Linked DNA regions of Daphnia pulex. Each later gene encodes a partner of the first gene's protein in a complex. Links are inferred from orthologs where the notes say so. Each region holds a gene or a part of one and is shown in the gene's direction. Other genes may lie near its edges.

Region 1 (5,029 bases):
AAACAGAAGATGAATCACTCGACGAGGCAGAAAACCATAAAATTGGTTTGGCCTCCACTCTAGGTCGTAGAAAAGGGAAGATCCCGCCTGCATTGCCCCAGCCGAATTCGCACAAAAATGTTCCGTTTGGAGGGACAGCGACTTTAGGTCGAATTAAAAAGAGTCCTGAAAATCCCTACGTCTATACAGAGGAGAAGAGTCCTCAGTCTCCTTCGAAGGCCAATAACCGGAGTCCGATGGCAGCCAGTTTAGATCGAAAGTACTTGCGTTTCTTGCGCGTTGCCCCCGAGAAACAGCCAGTACCAACACCCCAATTTCGCAGCTACCGTAAACCTTGCCCTTCGCCGTCACCAACTGCCACTTCTGCGCCGACCGCATTACCTCCTTCCCCTTACTGGATGGACGGATCCAAACCTCCACCACGGCCTCCTAATGAGTCGAAACCGGCTTCGCCATTCAAACCGCAACCGTCGCCAACAGTGATGAAAGACAATGTGGAATCAAACGGATCTTCATTTGATTTCTCATCACCGATCCAACCAAAGCATGCCCAAGCTAGTCGCCATTCGGCCGAACGTGCTGCCCCGCGGACGAACCATTCTGATGCCATCAACGCCTTCCGAAAAAGCATCAGCACGTCAAAGTTGCCCAATACGCCTCATTTGCAGCAGACTAACCTGAATACCACAGCAGAAATATCGTTGACGGAAATGAAAGAACGTCCTGGCTCTGCAACGGTCTTTCCACGCCGTCCCAGCCGACGACACAGTATTGAAATTATCGATACGAAATCTCCCAAATCTCCCGTTAAGCCTCAGTTGGCTCCGAAACCCAGCAGCGCCCGAATCATGGGTCGAAACGCTGGATTAGATTCTTCTACTGACGTTACGCCTACCGACGGAGTCCAACGTCGAGCCATGTATGGTTCATTGAATCGTTCCAGCTGTGGTGACACAGACATCTATGGCAGTTTGGAATCCGGTTACGCCAAAATCAAGCCGCGTAATTCTAGCAGTGCCAGCGACTATTACCGAAGTGGCAGCACTGGAAGTTCTGCCACTCTAAGTCCCCACAAGTTGGAATCTGTGGGTCGCCGTTCCAGTGTGAGCTCTTCGAGGCGGTCAAGCACCGATTGTGGTTCCACCGTCAAGTCTGGAGGAGTCAGCAGCAGCCTTTCTAAACTGCCCTCACCTGGTGCTTCCCTCTCACCCGCTTCACCTAGCCGAGGAGTGTTTGATTTCAACAATGTGGATCCTTTTGGGTATGAACTGAACTTGTCTGAAACTAGCTCTTATGTCAGGAGGCATCGCTCTAGGACTCTTGAACTTTTGAATCTACCTCAAGTTCCTTTCTGGTTATAGTTGTGCATCACTATGTGATGTGTGGACCAACTTCGTCTGCAATTTTGCGCACTATATGGCCCGTAAATTGTTCGTTAGGGCTTTTTCTTTTTTCGGAAGTGGGACTATTGTACAGACACTATTCAGTAAAGGCAGTCAATAAAGTACATTGTGCTGACTTTGCCCCCCTTTGCTCTGACTAACGAGCCCCGTCGTTATAGTTGGCTCACTAAGCGGGGATTTCTTTTGAAGCCCCCCTTCTCATTAGGCTGAATAGAGTGTGGGGTGGAGATTCCAGAATACAGTGTGACGACACTCCTGATACACCATTGTTAGTGCGTGTAGTGAAGAAAAGTAAACTATATTTTCACTAATGAGCATCTAGTCCGTTTTGATTCCATTATATTTAATGGAAAATCTCTTTGGAAGCAACATATAGATAGGGAAATAACCTTTTGCATCAAATGTATATGGATACTAAGTTTGGTTTTTATGTTTCTCCAAATAGGAAAAGTTATCGTCAAGGTCCGCCAGATCAATTATGGATCAATTCTTTACGCAATGGAATGACCACTAGTCCAGGAAAGCATGGCTGTAGTCCCGATCGTCCAAAGGTAATCAAACGCATTTAATTGTTTCCCTGTGTATCATTTTCACGAGAGATTTTTACTCATTATTCTGAATTTCACCCAAACCAGAACTCGAGCGCCAGGCTCAAAAGTACATCCTGTTATCAGCCAATGAATTTCCCGCTCAGTCCCAAAGACGACGCCAAAATGAGAGCTGCTTTTGAAATGAATTTGGACGTCACGTCTCCTGCGACGCCAGATCCTGACATTCAGAAAAGCACCGGAGCTGCCGCTGATGCGAAGCAGTTCTTTAAAATGTTGGTTTCGCCTAAATTCGGACGCAAAACGACGTCGTCCTCGCCAACCATTCCAGCCAAAAACAAAGTTATTGAAGCGTCTTCACCCCCGTTTACGACTGCCACGACACCGTCACCCCGTCTGCAGAAGACACTTTTGGGGTCACCGCGGCTCCATCGGGCTATTTTCGGCAACTCTAGAGATAAACGTAAGAAGCTGTTGGAAAGTGGCGAGCCCCACTTGCGTCCGTTTGTTGCGGAAGAGTCGGCCACGAATTTCGATGAGCGTACGGAAGCAGACGAATCTCAATCGAGTTTTAATTCGTCCGTCTCGAGCGAGTTTTCTCCTCGTTACTCACCGGCGTCGACCATCCATCATCGTTCACTCCATCGACCGCCCCCGTTGATCAGCCCGTTACAAAGTCCGTCGGTTTCCAGCAACAGCGGAGTGCTCGTCATGTCGCCTTTTGAAGATAGCAGCGGCAGTTGCCCGGGAACGCCGAAAACTCCGCTGCTCAAGCCGGCCATGGGCGTGTCGATGATCGGCAAGCAACGACGAACTCCTTTGGGTCCCGATTCGCCGTTCGGTCCGCCGTTGAGTCCAGCCTTTTCAACTGGGGGTGGAGGTTCTTTGCGCCACCATTCCTCGACGACTCAATTTCCGTACACGCTAACCCCCAAAGAATCGTCTCCCGCTCCAGCACCGCCATTGATTCCGTCTAGTGGAGAACTCGAGTACCCGCCCGTTTTTGAGCCGGGCACCTACAGTCTGTCTGAGAAGAATGTGGAAATGCATCTGACGTCGACTCGATCTTCTTTGACTTCCTCTTCAATGCCGCCCGTCCCAGCACCTCGCACTAAATTTCTATCGTCGACCACTAGCCGCCTGTCACATTCGCCGTCGATGGAATCCACTTCGAGTTCCAGGGAATCCACTTCCAACGTTTGCCAGCAACACCGCGTTCACGTGCGTCTGGAAACGGGTCGCTCCATCGACGAGTCATCCAATGCTTGAATTTAGATTGAATTGCGTGTTCTTCTTTTTTTTCTTTTTTACTTGTTGTCTTTATTTGAAGTGTACGTGGTGTTTTCGTCGGATCTGTGATGTAATGACGTTCTTTTGTTTCGAACCCGCTGCCAGTTTGCAGTTTTCGTCTTCCAAATTCACCGACCGTTTGCAATTTCATTTCGGTTTCTACACAATTTTTCTTGAGCCAAAAATATAACCGCTTTTTTCTCGTTTCAGCGCTGTTCTTGTGTGCTGCTGCCCTCACATCTAGATTGGCATTGGATGTAGTTGGTTGACTTGCCGACGTTGCGTATAATTTCATTTGGTAAACCACGAAAGAGCACCGCCAAAGAACGTCCGTGGAATATCTGCATCTCATTGTGAGGCCGCTTCCCTGTTTAGGTATTCCGTCTCGGTCGTCAAACAAGTCACTGAGAGAGAGAGGGAGAGAGGGCATCTATCCTCAAACATCAAAAGAAAGAAAGAAAGAAAAAATCACTACCCAATAATCAAGTTTGCTGTTCGGACTTGACTGAATCTGCGCTCTCTGACCAAAAGTTTGGGAGATAGCAAACAGCAGGAGATGTTGAATCACCATATATCCAGATCGCGATTCATGTCTAGTAGTTCATGCGCTGAGAAGAAGAAGATGAAGTCTGGGTATTTTTTTTTTCTTTTTCCCCCCTCTCTTTTCAATTAAAAATGCAATTGCGGGAACTTCCAAGTTTCGCAACTCAAGTTGTTTATCACGCTTGGCCGTCGGTGAAAGACCCCAAGGTTATTTTCCAGTTGTGTTTGTCTTGTCAAAAGCTGTACATATCCCGACGAAACTTGTCTCTCGTAGAGTAGAACACTACGAGAATGGGGAAAGAAAAGCTCAATTTCATGTCAGGTTTGTTTTGGGGGGTTGTTTTATCTTTCTTTTCAGAAATTAAATAATTGTTTACCGTGAACAACCCAACATGTACCGTGAGTTGGATTTTTTCAAGTCCACTGTGTATGATGAGTAAGTATTTTCTTTTTTCTTAGAGTTTTAGACTGCACCCCTTGACTCTGCTGCGCTGGTTTGTGCAACGTGAGATGCGTGAAATGAAATGATTGTTATCTATACAAACTGTGATGGGAGATAAAAGGGTGGAGAGAATAATAACGAGGCACGAACTGAAACAGAGAAAATGAGATCGAAAGAAAAGGGGGGAAAAACAAAAACAACCGAAATTTTTTTGACAAAAGGTGATGAATATAATAATAATAATATAATAATACAAGGTGTCAGTGTGACATTACATAGCGACGTAACAGTTGTGAGCATGGCCGGGCTGTTGGATGAAAAAGACCATCAACGGTCAGGAACTCTTTTTTAAGAAAAAGACTTAAATCCATTTTCTATCGAAATCCGTGACGCGCGTGAGAACTTGCGTCGCGGTCCGTCGCCTTTTTCCAAGTGTCTCTCAGACCCGTTTTTTTTCTTCTTCCTCTTCCTCGAGTGGCTGTTGTGTTGTGATTCCCCGAGTTTATTATACAACAGCAATTTCGAAAAAGAAGAGGGAAAAAGAAAAATGAGCGTGAAAATAGTTTGCGCGCGCGGACACCTGCTGGCTGTGACAAAAGCTCTTGGCCGCTCACGTTTGTACGCCTCGTTCGTGTATTGCATAAACGGTCGTTTAGAGGAGAATAGGAAAGAAGAAGAAAAAGGAAAAAAAACTCGATGGGTTTCTTCCTGCTTATCACGTCGTCTTGTGTATGCCACAGGGACGCCAGCCAAAGGTGTGGGCCGGCACAGGATATCAGCAATTCAACAGTCGAATTGCTGTG
Region 2 (6,264 bases), on another chromosome or scaffold:
TGTAATTTTTCAGAGCACCCCGCAGACAAACGATATTCAACATCAGCCATCTTCTCCAGTAAAAAGACTCGGACGTTCGGCGGAAATTCGACTAGACCACAAAAACAACCAAAATTAATTTAACAGTTGTAGAGCTTATTGGGGGAAAAAAAAACTTACTTTTGTGAACGTATAAGTGCGTTTCAGTTAAGATATCTTGCAAAGCGAGGCCTTTGAAAGTTTGAAGATCGCGTATTTCTATGATGAAAATAAAAACGAACAGAAACTTTATTTCTAATGACTAGGCGATAAATAACGTCTTGATAAATTTCCAGAACATGATTCTGATTAATATATACAGTCATGCCAGCCTTAGAAGGCAAATTCGTCTACGTAATTTTTTCTTGACGGAAAGGATAGTAGAATGGATACCCCGACCTCTTTCGCCAACTCATTCTTTCCTTAATATTCTTGAATTTTCCTACATTAATATTCAGCCATTTATAGGAACGATGAGAATTCTACTATCCCTGCCGCCAAAAAAACCCTCAATTATGCTGATTGCCAACTAAAAATAAGTTAGTCATGCAACCCCAGATTTAAAAAAAGCTTATAGCAATTCTAGAGCAGAAATCTTACTGCTATAAGCTGAAGTTAAATCTTCGTTTAACATCCACGAAACAACATTTGCAATATCCGATTTAAGAGGATGACCTGGCAGGATTTAATAAGAATTAAAAATGTGTTTCCATGAATCATTAGCATACATCATTTTTTTCATACCGACGCAAGTGTAAACATGATCTTCATTCACTTCATCAAAAGCCATTGAGGTGCTTTGAAGAATATTTATGACACGACGCATGTCGCCATGAGCTAAGCTCAACAAAGCTTGACGCCCATCTTCCGTGACCTTAATTCTAATTTGGAGAAAAGATTTTACAAAGTTTAATAAATGTTTGATTAGAATAGTTTAATTTTCTCCTCTTACTTTTCTTCTTCAATTACGTAATTCATCCGAGGTAAAATTTGATCTGATTTTAATGGGCCGAATCGGAAACGAGTGCAGCGTGACTGGATAGCTGGTATGATCTTACTCATGTAATTACAGATGAGACAAAACCGAACATTTTCAGTAAACTTTTCAATTACTAGAAAAAATGTATCATGAAATGGTAATGATTTATTTAATAACTAGTTGGATCTCTTTAAAATATCACCTCTTCTAAGTGCATTTTGAGCATCATTAGTCATAGCATCAGCTTCATCCAAGATAATAAGTTTGAAGCCTGATTTGAATATTGATCTTGTGCTAGCAAAACTCATGATCTGATTTCTTACAACATTGATGCCTCGGTCATCAGAAGCATTTAGTTCAAGAACCTTCACATAAAATAAAAAGTTTTAGATTGTAGGATGTCTTTGAACTAAGAAAGAATGTAATATAACATGGATATTTTAATTGTGTAACATTATTCACCATGGAATTGAATTGCTGGGGTGTATACAGTTCTTTCGCGCATGCTAATTTTGAATGAATTGATTAGTCAAATCATGAAATAAAATCTAATGTAATATTTATTGAATATTAATACCAAGAATGGTGCTTGTTTTTCCAGTTCCAGGAGGTCCATAAAAAAGTAAATGAGGTAATCGATTTTCATTTATGAACTTGCGAACTGCAAATTTTTATTAGAGAAAATGCAATGCAATGAAACATTTTTGAAAATTAATAGAATTATATAGAGAGTTACTTGTTGAAATGATATCTTGGTGAGAAATCAAGTCATCCAACTGTTTTGGTCGATATTTTTCCACCCACGGCAGATTTCCCGAGGAAGTCATTTCCGAAGAAACTCTAGATACCAGAGGCCTCTTATTATGATTATTTAGGTACTTCCTACAGATATGTTCTATAACTTGTTAGTTTTTAAATTGATTAAACTTATTAAATTAAAAACAAACCGAAATTGTATGGAACTAAATGCACGTCGTCTTCTTAGACAAGTAAAGCGCGCCTAAAGTAACTTGACTTGACACCAATGCCAATTTAATCGATTTACAAAACTAATTCCATTTAAAATAAAATAATAAATCCATACAAATAAAATTATTCACCGTATTTTACAAGACCAAATGAATTGAACAATATTTTATAACTGATAACATTAAATCACACTAAATCTCGATTCAACACCAGTTTAATTTTTCGGACCATAGATGGCTACTACACAATGCAGAAGTACGCGGACTGTAGTGGAAAAAATGGAATAATCAGTGATTCTATTGATACTGACTGACTGTAATGTATTGCAATACATTCGCTTATGATGGCATTAGTTATTGTTGTTATGGCGTCTGCGAAATTGGAACTCTGTGCATTTTCGTTCGTTTAAACCGCTTATACACCGCGATGGATTTCTAAAACATTGGATAGTCATATAACAAAGAAGTACGGTGGGTGAGGAAGCCTTTGGAAACATGATTAGTCGGGAGTCCGAAGAGCTTTGAGTGTTGACGGTTTGCGTCTGAATAATATGCAATTTCGTACGTAAAGTTCTGCAATAACAACCAAAGTACTAGATATAGATACCCTTAAGAATGGATACTGGAATCACAAAGAAAGCTGTTGTTGTGGTCAACAGCTGTAACACCATTCAAACGCTCTTAGATATCAATGCAATGATAGACATTCATGCTAAACATCTAGAAGGGTTGAGAACCCAGTGCTCTACCAGTGCTGAGTTGATTCAACAAGAAATCAGAACCATAGAGGTAAGATGTTTACTATTTAAAAGAATTTTCTGAATTAAATCATTTCAATATTTTAACAGGGTAAACTAGTCAAATTATTCAGCAAACAGCTAGTTGCAAAAGCCAAAATTCCCATAGAGGGATTACCATATGAAGTCAAAAACATTCCGTCAATCAAGCAATGGCTTCAAGTTGTTGGAATATCTCAGCCATCTGTTGAAACCTTGTGTGCCAAATTTCAATCTCTTGAATCTTTGCAAGAACTCAGTGATCATGAAATTAAAAGGATCTTCAATGAGTGTTCTGCAAAAGAAGATGAATACAGGCGCTTGATAAGAGCACTTCAGAGTGTTAAGAGATATACTGGTAAGATATTCATTTATAAAAATGTTTAACTGATCCAACTCTAAGAGCTTTGACATTGCAGAAGTTCTGGTACATAATGAAAAGGAAGGTAATAGTGGCCGAACAACACCTGACTTAGCGCTTTACTGGGATTCCTGGGATAATGCTACAAAAATGTCAATGCCAATGTCCTCTAACATACAGCACAATGACAGTGTTATACAAAATTCATCCCCCATTCAAAGTATAATAACTGCCCATGAAACCATTCCGCAAATGACTTCGGAAAACCGCAGCCCTCCCTCTACTCCATCTTTATTAAAAGGAAGAGGTAAAATACATGGAGTCGGCTATTAACTAGCGTGGTTGAAACTAATGAAATTCCAATTTAGGAGATCGTATGAAATTCCCTGCAACTCCACCACCTCGCAAGAAAAACCAGGTTATTGGTGGTACTGCGCCACTATTGACGGATTTCCCTCTTACGAAATCTACCTCCCACGAATCCCAGCTAGCCAATAGAATCGACGGAAATGATATTATCAGGTAAAAAAAAACTATTCCTTTTATTATTCGAAAATCTGAGCGCATCAACAGTTCTAGCGAAATGTTAGAATTAATGTATATTTTAAGAAATGTCTTGGAATTGTTAAGCGAATGCACATCATCACGAAGGCTGGCGATGACAATTCTCGACCAGAAGAACTGCATCAGAAACATTTAACTGACGTTCATATATTACCTAGCATGAATACTGATTTTTTGTTCTTTATGATCTTTTTATTCATTTCCCCCATCCATGTCCTTTACTAACTAACTATGTTTCCATTACCTTCAAATTGGGTTTACATGGCTTATTGGCTTGGATTTAAATATTTTGGTAACAACATTAATCCACGTTCTACTCGTGGTAATTAAATGGCCTCGTTATTGTCGCGCGTGAATGGGTGGTGGGTGTATAACTTTTCTCTGTAGTGGTGCCAGTACTATGCTTCTGTCCCGCTTTCGTCGTACCAAACCTAACGCTTATTGGCTGGGACGTAGCATGGAACACTTGGCGGTAACTGGAAGCAGTTCTCCTGTACCAACTTCGAATAGCAATTTGCCTGGAGCCTCGCCGGCTGGTGCCGTGCCAACTTCCTCAACCCCGTCCAAAGGGCGACACCGATTGGCCACCGATCCTTGCAGCATCACAGACGACTCCAATGATGACATACCAAAATGTAATTTGCATTTTTTTCCCCTTAGCTTTTATTGTTTGTTTTTTTTCCAATGTTTCATGTTTTCTGTTTAGCAACTGTTGCGACGCCGAAATCTCCACGGACTCCCACTGTTGGCGGACCGGCCGTTATGGCTCATACCATAAATCACCGATTTACGATGACTTTCAAGATGTTGACAGTATGTGACCTCTGCTTGAAGCAAATGTTCATAGGCAAGTCTTAATGGGAAAAAATCATATCATAATACGTACCTTAAAATCATTTCTTAATTTTTTGTCTGGTTCTAGGTCTAAAATGTAAAGATTGTAAATATAAATGTCATCGGGATTGTGCCACCAAAGTACCGCCGTCCTGTAAACTTCCACCTGGCTTAATAGACTATGTTCGTCAGCGTATCAACGATGGTAAGTGATCTCCATATGTTAAGTAAGACATCGAATCTTTTTAAGTTTAGTCAATCACAAAAAACTCATCTGCAGGTCCTCAAACGCCGATCATGCAGCGAACAACTGGAATCAGTAATACGATTGGTAGTAGTACGACGTCGGTTCCGTCTCCTTCGTTGAACCGACTCACGCCACACGACAAGAAAAAGTCCAGGACACAACCTGCCATTCATATGAATCAGGGTTTGACTTCAATTTACTTTAGTTTTCTGTGCCAAACATGTGACTGGACTTCTGAAGTAAAATTTTGTTCACAATTTTCTTCATAGGAGGTGGGTCGACGTCCGGCTTTGGTCTACACTCTACACATTTTGATTCAAGTTCGACTACATCTAGCTGTAGCAGTTCAACTCCCTCAAGCCCAGCTTTAGTTCTACCTTCGCACATTTCCGCAAATCACACGCCAACTTCGGCATCACAAATCACACAATTCCGCTTTCCTGGTACTATTTAAAACTTAAAAATATGTTTCAGTCGTAATGATGTAAATTTTTACGGTCATCTAACAACAGATGTTCGCCAAGCTGATCGAGCACAAAGTGCCGAAACATTGTTATCGCCATTATCCCACGTTCCATTGTCGGCAAAGAATAGTACTTCCGTTATCAACTCTGTCACCACCCTAAGTCCAGGTACCATAATTGGTTGGAATTTTCTACATTCTAGACCGTGTTTTAAATGTGTAACGAATTTAAAATTCTTTTCTCAAAATCTTGCTTTGGCAGCATCCGGAAATCCTTCCGTCGAGAACTCAACAAGTGGACATGCATCACAAGATTCGAATAAGATTATCTCCGTGTCTGGTCTTTCTGGTACTTCGGGATCAAATTCGACGAGTACAGATTCGGAGCGCACCTACAGAGTTGATTCGCAAGACAGTCAAATCTCTGACACTGAAACATCGGGAGATCGTCATTGGCCTCGCCAAAATAGCGTTAGTGAATCAAATTTTATTTATTTGCAATTTGAAAGCAATTGTATTTGTTTTTCATTTTCATTAGCTGTCGCTTCGAGAGTGGGACATACCGTTTCACGAGCTCGAACTTGGAGATCCTATTGGTCAGGGTAGGTTTGGTACCGTTCACCGGGGCATTTGGCATGGTGATGTGGCTGTTAGACTCTTGAATATGGATCAGATTGGAGATGAGAAAGTTTTAGAATCTTTCAAACTTGAGGTAAGAAATAATAATTTTTATTTTCTCTTCACTGTTTGTGCTAATTCACATTTTTTCCCCATCTCTAATTCAGGTGGCTACCTTTCGTAAAACTCGGCATGAGAATTTAGTTTTATTTATGGGTGCATGCATGAACTTGCCAACCTTAGCGCTCGTGACGAGCATGTGTAAAGGCCTGACCTTGTATACACATCTTCACTTACGCAAAGACAAATTCAGCATGAATAAAACGGTTATTATTGCCCAGCAAATATCTCAGGTTAGTTGGTCGTCAGTGAAAGTTCTGTTGTCACTGCAATTACGCGGATTATTCATTGATGTTTCTGTTATTACTACCTACAA

The links. The genes of interacting proteins can lie anywhere in the genome.
Region 2: the proteins of uncharacterized protein LOC124198601 (region 1) and kinase suppressor of Ras 2-like are in contact, whole or in part, in a cryo-EM structure (PDB 8BW9), measured with the Drosophila melanogaster proteins. The link is inferred for Daphnia pulex from reciprocal best matches to the Drosophila melanogaster genes cnk and ksr. Residues at the interface, in NP_001286524.1 of Drosophila melanogaster: Lys79, Asn80, Asn82, Gln84, Leu88, Glu183, Asn187, Ile190, Gln191, Ile193, Ser194, Asp195, Pro196, Val198, Leu199, Gln200, Pro201, His288, Thr289, Met291; in NP_001287177.1 of Drosophila melanogaster: Arg900, Gly901, Met902, Lys903, Gln904, Ser905, Leu906, Ala907, Gln910, Ser911, Gly912, Arg913, Lys916, Asp917, Met920, Tyr925, Lys945.

The regions. Positions count from the first base shown.
Region 1 is NC_060023.1:3,772,667-3,777,695, reverse strand, and holds the end of uncharacterized protein LOC124198601, read left to right. Parts: coding exon 1-1,261; intron 1,262-1,848; coding exon 1,849-1,954; intron 1,955-2,038; coding exon 2,039-3,220; 3' UTR 3,221-3,447; downstream 3,448-5,029.
Region 2 is NC_060019.1:3,433,796-3,440,059, reverse strand, and holds the start of kinase suppressor of Ras 2-like, read left to right. Parts: upstream 1-2,210; 5' UTR 2,211-2,580; coding exon 2,581-2,754; intron 2,755-2,813; coding exon 2,814-3,099; intron 3,100-3,160; coding exon 3,161-3,409; intron 3,410-3,470; coding exon 3,471-3,624; intron 3,625-4,053; coding exon 4,054-4,301; intron 4,302-4,372; coding exon 4,373-4,513; intron 4,514-4,588; coding exon 4,589-4,705; intron 4,706-4,780; coding exon 4,781-4,930; intron 4,931-5,016; coding exon 5,017-5,190; intron 5,191-5,259; coding exon 5,260-5,379; intron 5,380-5,472; coding exon 5,473-5,681; intron 5,682-5,748; coding exon 5,749-5,922; intron 5,923-5,995; coding exon 5,996-6,181; intron 6,182-6,264. Other genes in the region: replication factor C subunit 5-like, read right to left, coding at 1-91, 160-237, 619-693, 763-899, 971-1,130, 1,200-1,362, 1,460-1,503, 1,575-1,658 and 1 more.